Arabidopsis thaliana: one gene and its partner. The protein of the gene in region 2 interacts with the protein of the main gene of each other region in a pairwise test. Each region holds a gene or a part of one and is shown on either strand. Other genes may lie near its edges. The genes, in order: CARB and CARA.

What was found.
Region 1: the proteins of CARA (region 2) and CARB interact in a two-hybrid assay, tested with the Arabidopsis thaliana proteins (one large-scale study listed by BioGRID).

Annotation. Positions count from the first base shown.
Region 1 is NC_003070.9:10,465,897-10,472,887, reverse strand, and holds CARB (carbamoyl phosphate synthetase B), read right to left. Parts: upstream 4,933-6,991; 5' UTR 4,725-4,932; coding exon 3,378-4,724; intron 3,233-3,377; coding exon 2,540-3,232; intron 2,436-2,539; coding exon 912-2,435; 3' UTR 677-911; downstream 1-676. Other genes in the region: CAB3 (chlorophyll A/B binding protein 3), read left to right, coding at 1-445; RWA4 (O-acetyltransferase family protein), read right to left, coding at 5,735-5,890, 5,971-6,067, 6,185-6,241, 6,325-6,387, 6,493-6,581, 6,675-6,761, 6,841-6,956. UniProt on the Arabidopsis thaliana protein: Large subunit of the arginine-specific carbamoyl phosphate synthase (CPSase).
Region 2 is NC_003074.8:10,280,618-10,285,750, forward strand, and holds CARA (carbamoyl phosphate synthetase A), read right to left. Parts: upstream 3,319-5,133; 5' UTR 3,176-3,318; coding exon 3,037-3,175; intron 2,861-3,036; coding exon 2,728-2,860; intron 2,640-2,727; coding exon 2,551-2,639; intron 2,466-2,550; coding exon 2,405-2,465; intron 2,327-2,404; coding exon 2,259-2,326; intron 2,151-2,258; coding exon 2,022-2,150; intron 1,920-2,021; coding exon 1,810-1,919; intron 1,707-1,809; coding exon 1,359-1,706; intron 1,174-1,358; coding exon 1,008-1,173; intron 903-1,007; coding exon 853-902; 3' UTR 613-852; downstream 1-612. Other genes in the region: EMB3123 (PPR containing protein), read left to right, coding at 4,203-4,871. UniProt on the Arabidopsis thaliana protein: Small subunit of the arginine-specific carbamoyl phosphate synthase (CPSase).

The DNA of each region.
Region 1 (6,991 bases), on a different chromosome or scaffold from region 2:
TAGGAACGGAGTCAAGTTCGGAGAGGCGGTTTGGTTCAAGGCCGGTTCACAGATCTTTAGCGATGGAGGACTCGATTACTTGGGAAACCCTAGCTTGGTCCACGCTCAGAGCATTTTGGCCATTTGGGCCACTCAAGTTATCTTGATGGGAGCTGTTGAAGGCTACAGAGTCGCAGGAAATGGGCCGTTGGGAGAGGCCGAGGACTTGCTTTACCCCGGTGGCAGCTTCGACCCATTGGGTCTTGCTACCGACCCAGAGGCTTTCGCGGAGTTGAAGGTGAAGGAGCTCAAGAACGGAAGATTGGCTATGTTCTCTATGTTTGGATTCTTCGTTCAAGCCATTGTCACTGGTAAGGGACCGATAGAGAACCTTGCTGACCATTTGGCCGATCCAGTCAACAACAACGCATGGGCCTTCGCAACCAACTTTGTTCCCGGAAAGTGAGCCAAGTTTTATCAGTTTGTATTTTGCTTTTCTTTCAGTCTTTTGAATTCGAGTGAGAGACATGAGGAGAAAGAGAAGGTTGTATGTGATGGTTTGAGACTTTCAGATGTAAATTTGCAAGACTTTGTATGATTTGTCATTAATCAAACTCAATTTTCTCTCATACTAGTCTCGTATTAACTAAAATTCAAATGGAATGTTCTTGGGTTCGCTCAAATGAAGAGGCTGTTTCTACAATTGCACAATCTTATAGAACATAACTCGAGTTTAAGCCAAGCGTTACATGACCTGATACAATCAAAGGCTTGTGTATATCTGAATTAAAGGAACAAAGCCGATTGATAAATCACAAGTTTGCTGCATTTTCGAAGATTATTCATAGAAATGCTTATGGGTAACAAAATCCGTTAAAATTTATCGTAAAAAAGTTCCACACAAACGATCAACACACAACAAAAAAACTAACTCAGACGAGCAAAGAAGATACATTCTTTACCTCAAAGAAGTCCTGAAGAGCGGTCATTTTAATGGCACTTGACTTCAAGCTCTTGATTCCCTCAGCAGTGGCCAATGCACCAGCAACAGTGGTTATAACAGGTACCTTGTATGCTAGAGCCATTTGTCTGAGCTGTCTCCCATCTTTCTGATCAAGAGCATCACCCGAGCTTGTGATCAACATCAAATGGATCTGACCATTCGCCACCATATCAGCAGCATGTGGTCTTCCTTCATGCAACTTCAACACTCTCTCCACTGGAATGCCTTTCAGTTCCAGGAAATGAGCTGTTCCCGAGGTGGCAACTATTTTGAACCCAAGCTCGAGGAAGGACACCGCGATTTTCTCCAGGTGCGGTTTGGTCATATCGTTTAAGCTGAGGAAGACTGTGCCTGATAGAGGTAGCTTTTGACCTGCAGCGATCTGAGCCATTGCAAACGCACTTGAGAATTCAGAACTGATGCTCATCACTTCTCCTGTGCTTCTCATCTCTGGCCCGAGTATCACATCGCATCCTTGGAACTTCTCAAACGGGAAAACAGCTTCTTTCACAGAGACATGTTTAGGGATAACTTCTTTTTCAAAGTTAAGATCTTTGAGAGATTTGCCCGACATGACCAGCGCTGCATACTTGGCAAGAGGGTGTCCAATGGCTTTTGACACAAAAGGGACAGTACGGGAAGCTCGGGGATTGGCTTCCAGCAAAAAAACATCCCCAGATGTTGTGATTGCGTACTGACAGTTCATCAGCCCACATACATTTAGCTTCTTCGCCAGCTTAGTGGTCCATGTTCGAATAGTTTGCAAACAAGAAGCTGGGATGGTTTGTGTTGGAAGCATACAAGCTGAGTCACCAGAATGCACACCAGCTTGTTCGATATGCTCCATTATTCCACCAATCACCACATTTCCATAGGAATCAGTAAGGGTATCAACGTCGATCTCAATGGCATCAGAAAGATATTTATCTACCAAAACAGGTCTCTCTGGGTCAACTTGTACCGCATTTTCCAAATAGGTTATTAGTCTACTGTCATCATAAACGATCTCCATTGCTCGTCCACCTAGAACATAAGAAGGTCTTACCACAACTGGGTACCCTACCTCCTTTGCTATGGCTAATGCATCAGCTTCGCTCTTTGCAATGCCTCCCTTGGGCTGCTCAATCTTCAGCTCGTCGAGAATTGCATTGAACCTCTCTCTGTCTTCAGCAGCGTCAATGGAGTCAGGTGATGTACCCCAGATGCGAACAGGTCCCGCTCCGCTCAAGCTCATGGGCATGTGCTTATCCAAATAATGTTTGATCGGCAGAGCAAGTTTCAGAGGAGTTTGACCACCAAATTGCACTATTATGCCATCAGGTTTCTCAAGGTCGATAACATTGAGAACATCCTCGATTGTGAGAGGTTCAAAATAGAGCCTATCGCTTGTATCATAATCTGTGGATACTGTTTCAGGATTTGAGTTCAACATTATGGTCTCATATCCAGCATCCTGCAAATAAATTAAAAAAAGTAGATAAGTAAGTTTAGCATAAAAAAGTTGAAACAATGTTTACTGGCTTTTGGGAGAGACGCTTAGATTGTCTAAAGACATACCTGTAAGGCGAAAGATGTGTGGCAACAACAGTAATCAAATTCAATCCCTTGACCAATGCGGTTTGGCCCTCCACCCAAAATCAAAACCTTCTTCTTGTTGTTTGGAGCTGATTCACATTCAACATCATATGAAGAGTACATGTATGGTGTATGCGCTTCGAACTCTGCAGCACATGTATCCACTCTCTTGTAAGATGGAACAACTCCTAGAGAAATCCGCTTGGTACGGACTTCTTCCTCGGTTGTCTTTGTAGCAAAAGCGATTTGCTTGTCACTAAATCCCCGCTTTTTGACTTCGTAAAGGTCTTCTTTTGTAATCTCTGACAAGGTTCCGGACATAAGATACTGTTCGACGTCCACGAGCTCTTTAAGCTGGGTTAGGAACCACTTGTCCACCATGCTCAACTCGTAGATTTCATCAATTTTCATACCCTTTTTCATGGCAGCATATATCGCATGGATCCTGTCAGGATTTGGGACTCTTAGGCTGTATTTCAGCTGATCCCAGTCCCAATCTAGCTCTTTAATTTTTGCACAACCCCAACCCGAGAATCCACACTCCAGAGACCTCAGAGCTTTCTGGAAAGATTCTTGGAATGTACGGCCGAGAGCCATAGATTCCCCAACAGATTTCATCTGGGTCGTTAGCAATGGCTGAGATCCTGGAAACTTTTCAAATGCAAATCGAGGAATCTGCATGGTAAAGAAATAGATATCGTTAAGCAAAATATGCATTTGAGTTTATATATCATGAAGTGGATAGATGTGTGTAAATCTTCAAAGTCAAGCGTATCTCATTTCGCAACACAAATAAAGCCAAAAGTATGGAATGACAAACCTTAGTCACCACATAATCGATGGAGGGCTCGAAGCTAGCCGGTGTTTTCCTCGTGATATCATTAGGAATCTGATCCAAGGTATAGCCAACAGACAACTTGGCAGCCATTTTAGCAATGGGAAACCCTGTAGCCTTGGAAGCAAGAGCAGAAGATCTTGAGACCCTAGGGTTCATCTCTATGATCATAACTTCACCATCAACCGGGTTGACAGCAAACTGCACATTAGATCCACCACACTCAACACCAATCTCCCGTATAATCGCAATGGAATAATCCCTAAGCCGCTGGTACTCTCTATCCGTTAGAGTCTGTGCAGGTGCCACAGTGATGGAATCACCAGTGTGCACACCCATAGGATCAATATTCTCAATGGAACAGATAATGACAACATTGTCAGCTAAGTCTCTCATCACCTCAAGCTCATATTCTTTCCAACCCAACAAGGATTTCTCCACAAGAACTTGACTTGTCGCACTCGCAGCCAAACCCGATTTACATATAGACTCAAACTCCTCTTTGTTATACGCAATTCCACCACCAGTACCACCTAAAGTAAACGCAGGACGGATAATCAAAGGGAACTCACCAATTTTCTCAGCAATGTCAAAACACTCATCAAGAGTGGTCCCAATCCCTGAAGGTGGAGTCTTTAGCCCAATGTTCTTCATCGCATCCTTGAACAACTCACGATCTTCAGCTTTCTTAATCGCACCAAGCTTAGCTCCTATCAATTCAACACCGTATTTCTCCAAAGCACCACTCTCAGCAAGAGCAACCGCGAGGTTCAATGCGGTTTGACCACCCATGGTTGGTAACAAAGCGTCAGGCCTCTCTTTCTCAATAACCTGCTCGACAAGCTCAGGAGTCATCGGAGCGATATAAGTCCGATTAGCAGTTTCCGGATCAGTCATGATAGTGGCAGGATTCGAATTGATCAGGATAACCTCATAGCCCTCTTCTCTTAAGGCTTTACAAGCTTGAGTACCAGAGTAATCAAACTCACAAGCTTGTCCAATGACAATCGGACCAGCGCCGAGAATCATAATCTTCTTCAGATCGGTTCTCTTGCCGACGATCTCCGGAGAAAAAGGCTTGGTAGTGGTGTCGGCGAGCTCTGAGACGGGTTTGAGAACATGCGTGAGGGAGCTTTTCCGATTGAGACATGGGGGGAAAGTGGAGAAGGAAGAAGAAGACGAGGCTTGTTTTGGTTTTGATCTGTAATAGATGGCAGAGCGAGAGAAGAAAGTGGAATAGGAGAGCTTGGAAGGAGAGAAACGAGGATTGGATTTGGAAGAAGCGAAAATGGAGGAACAATTGGAAGAGAGTTCTAAGCAATGGTTTCTCATTTTTGCTTCTTCTTCTTCTTCTTCTTCTAAGTTTTGCCTGTGTCGGCTCTGTAACTGGAGACTGCTGCAGAAGAGAGTGAGACACGAGAGAGAGGGTTTTAGGGTTTCTCGAAATTTGGATTATTCCGGTTTGGTATTTATTTTGTCTTTCTCAATCCTGCTGTATTTGATTATGACAATCCATTTTTTCAACAACAATTATTGGGAAAATATGATAAATGACATAAAAAGATAATTAACTCTTCCAAAAAGTTGCAAAGAGAAATGATTTTTTTTTTTTTGGTTAGAATGTATCATTTCGTCATTTATGGAATCGTATCCATAATATGATAGATATTATGTCTCTGGTTTAAAAAAATAATTAAATTTTTGGAAATTAGAATATTATTGTTTTATTCAAGAGTGTTTAAAATATAAAATGGTGTTATAATGAATGGAGTTTTATTGGTAGTAAATCCAATAAATATTATTTGATATAGATTTATTTCATTAAAAACAAATGTTATTCGTGTCATGTTATTAAAGTTATACTCTATATGACTTTTAAATATAGTATATATTCCAAATCGGTTTTAAAATGAGTAAATAAGAAAGTCAACGAATTACAAAACTAATTACCGCATTTATTTTGTAGTCAATGCGGTCGCAGGTACTTACTGCTTTTGCTTTCGCTCAGATCATCAACTCTTCTGCTGACTTTACAGTAGATTAAACAGATAATGTACTATATATAACAGTCGCATCTGGTAAGGTTTCCTTAAACTGCAAACTTTTCTAGTACCGCATGTCCTTCTCTATAGAATCAATCTTTTTAACTGTATATAGTAGTATTATATGTGTTTGCACGTTTGATATAGTAGTAAAAGCTTTTTTCTCTGTGCAACTAACTTTAACTTTGTGTTTCTCAGGTTTGTGACGTCTCTTCTGTAATGGAAACATTTGTTCAGAGTCGTCATCCTTTTTGATAATGGTGCAACTGGACAATAAGGGATCAGGGACTAGTACAAAAGTTAATGTGGGATCAAGAGAAGAATAAGACCGATAATATATAAACAAAATGATATCGCAGCCATAGCAATCACGTTGTGGAGCAGCCGTTTGTCGTCTTTCGTGGGTATGAAAACTGATTTTAATGTATTGGTTAGCTCGAAAAGTCGAACAGATACCTGAATGAAGAAGGAAAAAAAAAGTGTAAGAAGTAATAAAACGATAAAAGCATAGAATGGTTTTACCGATGCTTTTTTACCAAGACGTAGATGGCCGTGGTGAGCATGAAGTTGAGCATTGGGTATTCTGGGATGATTGATAATAGCAACTTTGGCTGCCCATTTGGCACACTCGATCTGCACCACATTGAGAATTATTGTTATACTAACATATGTTAACCATAAAGGCTTCACTAACCACATTGTGAAGTTTCTTTATAATAACATATGCTTCGATTTGTAGATCCCACTAACCTTAACCAGATGTGAAACTGTGAAATGTAGGTCTCGAGAGTTATCTTGCCCAGCCACCTAGAGAGAGATCATGGTCAAAAAGCTGTGTGCACTGTGAACAAGAAGGTAACAATAAGGAATTAAGAGATTGAGAATCTTACGCAAAGAGTGTCAGGGAAAATCTCCGTAGCTGTTGGGTGCAATTTCGCAGACAGATGTAGACACTGTTCCAGATTTAAAACCAAAGGTCATAAATCAAGAAAGCATATTATCTCAAGATTTAGCATGAACCATGAAAATGAAGAAAAGACAAAGTTGTTGGTACTGACGTTATTGGAATCCAAGATGTGTAGGGATGATATTTGTTGTACGTAACCTTGTCCAGCTTGTAGATGTATTCATACCAAAGGTAACCAGCCTGAACATTTGGAAACCACGACACAAACATCAGAATAATTGTGGAGAAGACTATATATGATGAACCAGAAGCCGAGAAAAGCTAACAACTCACGAATGAAGAAATTCCTATTATGCTTGTCTTGATTGACATCCTTCTCTTAGCATCACACTCCTCCAATTTCTCCATCCATCTTTCTACCTGAAATCCCCAATATATTTAGTTGCGTCTTTCGAGAGGAGATATGGAAAAAATGAAAGCACCATGGTTCTGGAATTACAGTGGGATGAAAATATGCATATATCATGCCGATGATCCATATGTAGCGATCAAGTCCAGATCTGAAATGCCATTCGTGTAGACGTGGAAGGTCTGGTTTAGCTGGATCTGTGTACCCTGTATTTGTGTTAAAGACAGAATATCAACGTTAG
Region 2 (5,133 bases):
GAATTCAAATTCAAGGGCCGTTGTTGTGAAGAAGAGCAAGCTAAAATTACTAGTTAATGGCCGAAAACGCTGCGTCCCATATAAGAAAACATCACGCAGTTTTGATCTATTTCAAAACTAAAGATCCCGAAACACAAAACGTCACGCAGTTTGGATCTCTCCGAAAATTTAAAAATCCCAAAAACAAAAAACGCCACGCACTTTTGGTCATGTAATACAAAACAAAAGGGAACAAGTTTTTTGGCGGTAGCCAATACTTTGCAAATTACAGAATGATAAAAAAATTTAGATCTGTTTTAATCCGGTTTTTGCTTCAGATTCTTTTGTTTTTCATAACTTTCATTTCTAAATAACTGCATTCAAAGTAAATCCTAATTCACTGATAAATGATTGATACAACTTTAGTTTCAACTAGTGGACCATTGGAGGAAGAACGGCAAGGTTGTTCTCTAAGGCTCCAAGGTCAGAGAGCCAGAGTTAGAAACACCAATTGTTTGCTATGTGTTAATCAGTTCCTATCATCTGTTACGTTGAGCCATTTGAACCTCATTCTGGCCAATGGGGTTATCGAGGGTACTAGGATGGAGGATCATGAAATGTTCCAAGAATTGACCCCAAGTCACAAGAGTTTCCCAGCTTTCTTATATCAAAAGACACAAACTCTCACATCTCTTTATCTCTTTATTACTTTTACAAAATCTTACTTATTTTATAGGTTGGATGGTTGCTCAATACAGTCAAAGCAAAGAAACAATAATGCCAATCCATTATCACTAACAAAACAGTTGGTTTTAATTTAAGTGCCATGATTAAAAACAGCAACGTACAAAAACAAAGAGTACTTCTCATTGATCAGGAGCTTTGTTTCGATCTCTTCATAAGCTCTATGAACTCTCTAAATGCTGCATTCATAAGCAAAAAAATAATCACATTAATCTTCTGGTTTTTCAGTACGACTGAAGCATAAGTGTCTTTCACCAAGTGACTGGAATAAAGAGGACAGTTACCGTTATCAGAGTCGTGAGGTCCAGGGGAGGCTTCAGGGTGGTACTGGAGTGACATAACATTCATTTCCGGGAAAGATAGACCCGCACAGCTTCCATCATTGAGATTGACATGTGTTACTTCTACGCCTCCGGGAAGTGAAGCTGGATCAACCGCATAGTTGTGATTCTGCCAAGAATTACAGAAAAAAAGACAATGATACACCATATTTAGATTTTGTCAAGCTTGTAACAATGTTCCTAGCACAGTCGTTTTATCAGATAATTATCCGAACTTTGAATGTGGAAGTTCAAATCCTTAGTTGGTAGTATGCTTGGAATTAAATGGAACATTTTGAGGTTGGGTATTGGTACCTGAGCACTGATCTCCACCTGACCAGTTCTGTTGTTACGAACTGGGTGGTTTCCTCCATGATGACCAAACTTCATCTTGAAGGTTTTACCCCCCAAAGCTTGACCAAGCAACTGATGGCCCATACAGATTCCGTAAACAGGGACTTTACCGAGAAGCTCTTTAACTGTCTCAACAGCATATGGCACAGCAGAAGGGTCTCCAGGACCGTTGCTGAACAAAATCCCATCTGGATTCATTTTCAGCGCCTCGGCAGCTGGAAATGTGGACGGAACAACAGTGATTTGACATCCGTAAGATGAAAGGCGTCTTAGGATGTTTTGCTTGATTCCAAAATCGTAAGCAATAACCTTTGAATTCAAGAGACAAAGTATAGAAAGAGAGAGTAAGAAAAGTATAGAAAGAGAGAGTAAAAAGCATCGATAAGAGCAAAAGTAGAGAAGTAATACTCACTTTGTAGGATTTCCCATCTCGTGAATTCGTGTTGAAATCCCATTCAGCGTTTGTTTTGTCAACCCATTCATAGGGAGATTTACATGAAACATCACTTATTAGATCAATACCTACAAAGATTCAAAGATTCAAAAAAGCAGACAGAAGGAGTTCAATATTCCAAGTGTTATATTATAATTGCCAAAAACAGGAAATGGCAGGAGAAATCTGACCTACGATATCCCATGAACGAGACATTTGCAGAAGTTCATCATCTGTTTTGGACTGTTCTGTGCTCAACACCCCGATAAGACTACCATCTTCTCTTAACCGACGGGTTATTGCTCGAGTGTCAAGATCATCTGATAGTGTTTACAAAAACATCCCAAAATAGAGTAATCAGAGATGTTTTCAAATGCAACTTTATCTCATGCACAATCTAAATAGTATGTTGAATACAAGGAACTTACAAACTCCCATGATGTCCCTTTCGGTTAGATAATCAGCAAGTGTCTTCGTGCATCTCCAGTTTGAGGTACTGAACATTTCACAATTCAAGAAGTCAGGGACATTAAAATGGAGGATAATGGAAAGACACATCAAGGAAAATGCTTACCTAATGCTTAGGTTTCTTATCACCAAACCAGTAAGAAAGCATTGCCCAGATTCTTCATCATCTACAACAAACATTTACAAATGTAATAAGAAACATTGAGAACATAAGTTCCTAGTGTATACGAAAGTTTCGAAACTGCCACTTACCAGGATTGACACCAGTATTACCAATTTGTGGGTTTGTCATTAGCACAAACTGCCCAGCATAACTAGGATCAGTTAAAATTTCTTGATACCTTCCAAAAACAAACAAAATCTAAGATTCAGTAAGCTAAAATCAACAATCTTTGAGGTGATATAATGAAATCAAAGAACAAAACATACCCTGTCAAGGAAGTGTTAAACACCAATTCAGCAATACGGGTTCCAGGAGCACCAAAAGACTTAGCAGGCCAGATAGAACCATCTTCTAACACAAGCCTAGCATTGTACGAAGTCCAAGGTTTCTCCACAACACCTACGATGTGCAAAAATCAAAACTTTCACTAAAAGGTTTTGGCACTAATTCTTAAGACAGAGACTTTCTCGATCAAACGAAAAATCCAAGCTTTACCCTTTATTCAAGAACTAAAACCCAATGGAGACAATACACAATTTCATCAATTTTGAAACGGAAATGAAGGCAAAATTTACCAGAAGTGGGAAAAGTGAGTGGAGAAGTGGAGCAACGGATGACAGAAACCCTAAATCCACCGCCGCGACGGTCGAAGGAAGGCTGGGAAGATAAGCTCGTAGGCAAAACAAAGCCTAGAGTCCTTGTTGCCATGGCCATGTTGTTTTCTCTGGAGGAAGAAGAAGATCGAAGAAGAAAACGGCGTCAAGGTTTTTTAGGGTTGGTGGGTCGATAGCTCTTTTTTTGAAATTAATTCGTTGTTATTATTACAGTATCTTGCTTTGACTTTTGTTGACTTTTTTCTCTAGTAAATTTGGTCACATAATCATAGTTTTGTTGCTAAATAAAAAGGGATGAAAATCATAGTTTTGTTTATTATAAAAATAGAATAAAGTATCGAATATATGTCTAAATTTAATATTTAAATAATTATATATATAAATAGATTTTATATAAATTCGAAATAGAATAAATATAAGGTTAAATAAAAGTAAAAAAATCATATATTTATATTTTAATAAGGTAAAAATGTTTTAGGATATTAGTAATTAAACGAGTTAAAGAAATATAAGATTTAAGATAGAATGTTGCTAGCATTCTATCTTGATTTTTTGAAGACTGATTTCAGTTAGAATTGTGGCAACAAATATGAAGATTCCAGTACTTAGGTCATATGGTAAAATCACGCGAATTCTTAAGTTTTACAAGATCGAATTCGGTGGTTCTCTTTGTAACTTGGCTTTCTTTGCTTAGAAGCGATCCAAACCTTTTTTAGTAGTAATGTTGTATTTATTTTTCTGTAGATTATTTTTATATGTATTTTGTAATCTTTGTAATTATGTTAAAAATTAAAATTGGTATAAAATTTAACTTTTTAACAAAAAAAAAAACAATCTGAAAAAAAAAGAAGAAGATAAAGTCGTCAAATTGGTATAAAATTTAACTTTTTAACGAAACAAGAATTTGAAAAAAAAGAAGAAGATAGAGTCGCTCTTGCAAGTGTAATGATAGACTCGTGTAGAGAAATTAGCGGGAACAGAAATATAAACGACGCATAATTAGAAAGTATAAATTAATTAATTTTGTGTCACATATGGGCCTTTTATAAATTAATATGGGCTTGCCCAATGAAAGACCATCTCTCTCACTCACACAACCACACTCGTAAAGATTGGTGTGATTAATAATGGCGCTTTCTCTCAGCCAGACTCGACCACCAAGCCTTAGCCATAGCCATACCCTTAGCGTCATCGTTCCTAAGAGAACGTTCGTTTCGATCCGATGCGGTCCACGAGACAACCGCGGACCACTTCTCAAAGGCCGAATCCTAAGCACCGAAGCAATCCAATCAATCCAATCTCTCAAACGAGCTCATCGAACCGGTGTCTCCCTCTCCCTTACCCTCCGTCCTCTCCGCCGTCTCATAAAATCCGATCTCATCTCCGTCCTCCGTGAGCTTCTCCGTCAAGACTATTGCACACTCGCTGTCCATGTACTCTCCACTCTCCGTACAGAGTATCCTCCTCTTGACCTTGTTCTATACGCAGACATTGTTAATGCTCTTACGAGGAATAAAGAGTTCGATGAGATAGATCGTCTTATTGGTGAAATTGATGGAATTGATCAAAGAAGTGATGATAAGGCTTTAGCTAAGTTGATTAGGGCTGTGGTTGGAGCTGAGAGGAGAGAGTCGGTGGTTAGGGTTTATACCTTGATGAGGGAAAGTGGTTGGGGGTCTGAGTCATGGGAGGCTGATGAGTATGTCGCTGAGGTTTTGAGTAAGGGTCTCTTGAGACTAGGAGAGCCAGACTTGGCTTCTCAAGTCTCACTCAAATCTTCAATTCTAAAACCTTGAATTTTCGGGTTTTCGGTTTGGTTTGGTTCGGTTTTTGATTAAGTTCATACACTTTTGGCAAAGATTGCACTATATTCTGTTGCTATGGTTAGTTCTTTCGATTTGGTTCGAGCTGAAATCAATTCGGGTAGCGAAAAATTTACGAAATGGTTCATTGCGATATGCGAATTGGATCGGAAGTAAATAGTTTATGCATTGAAATGTTGTGGCGTTTACAATGATCTGTTTTGAAGATTTTAGACATATGGGGTAAAAAATTGTT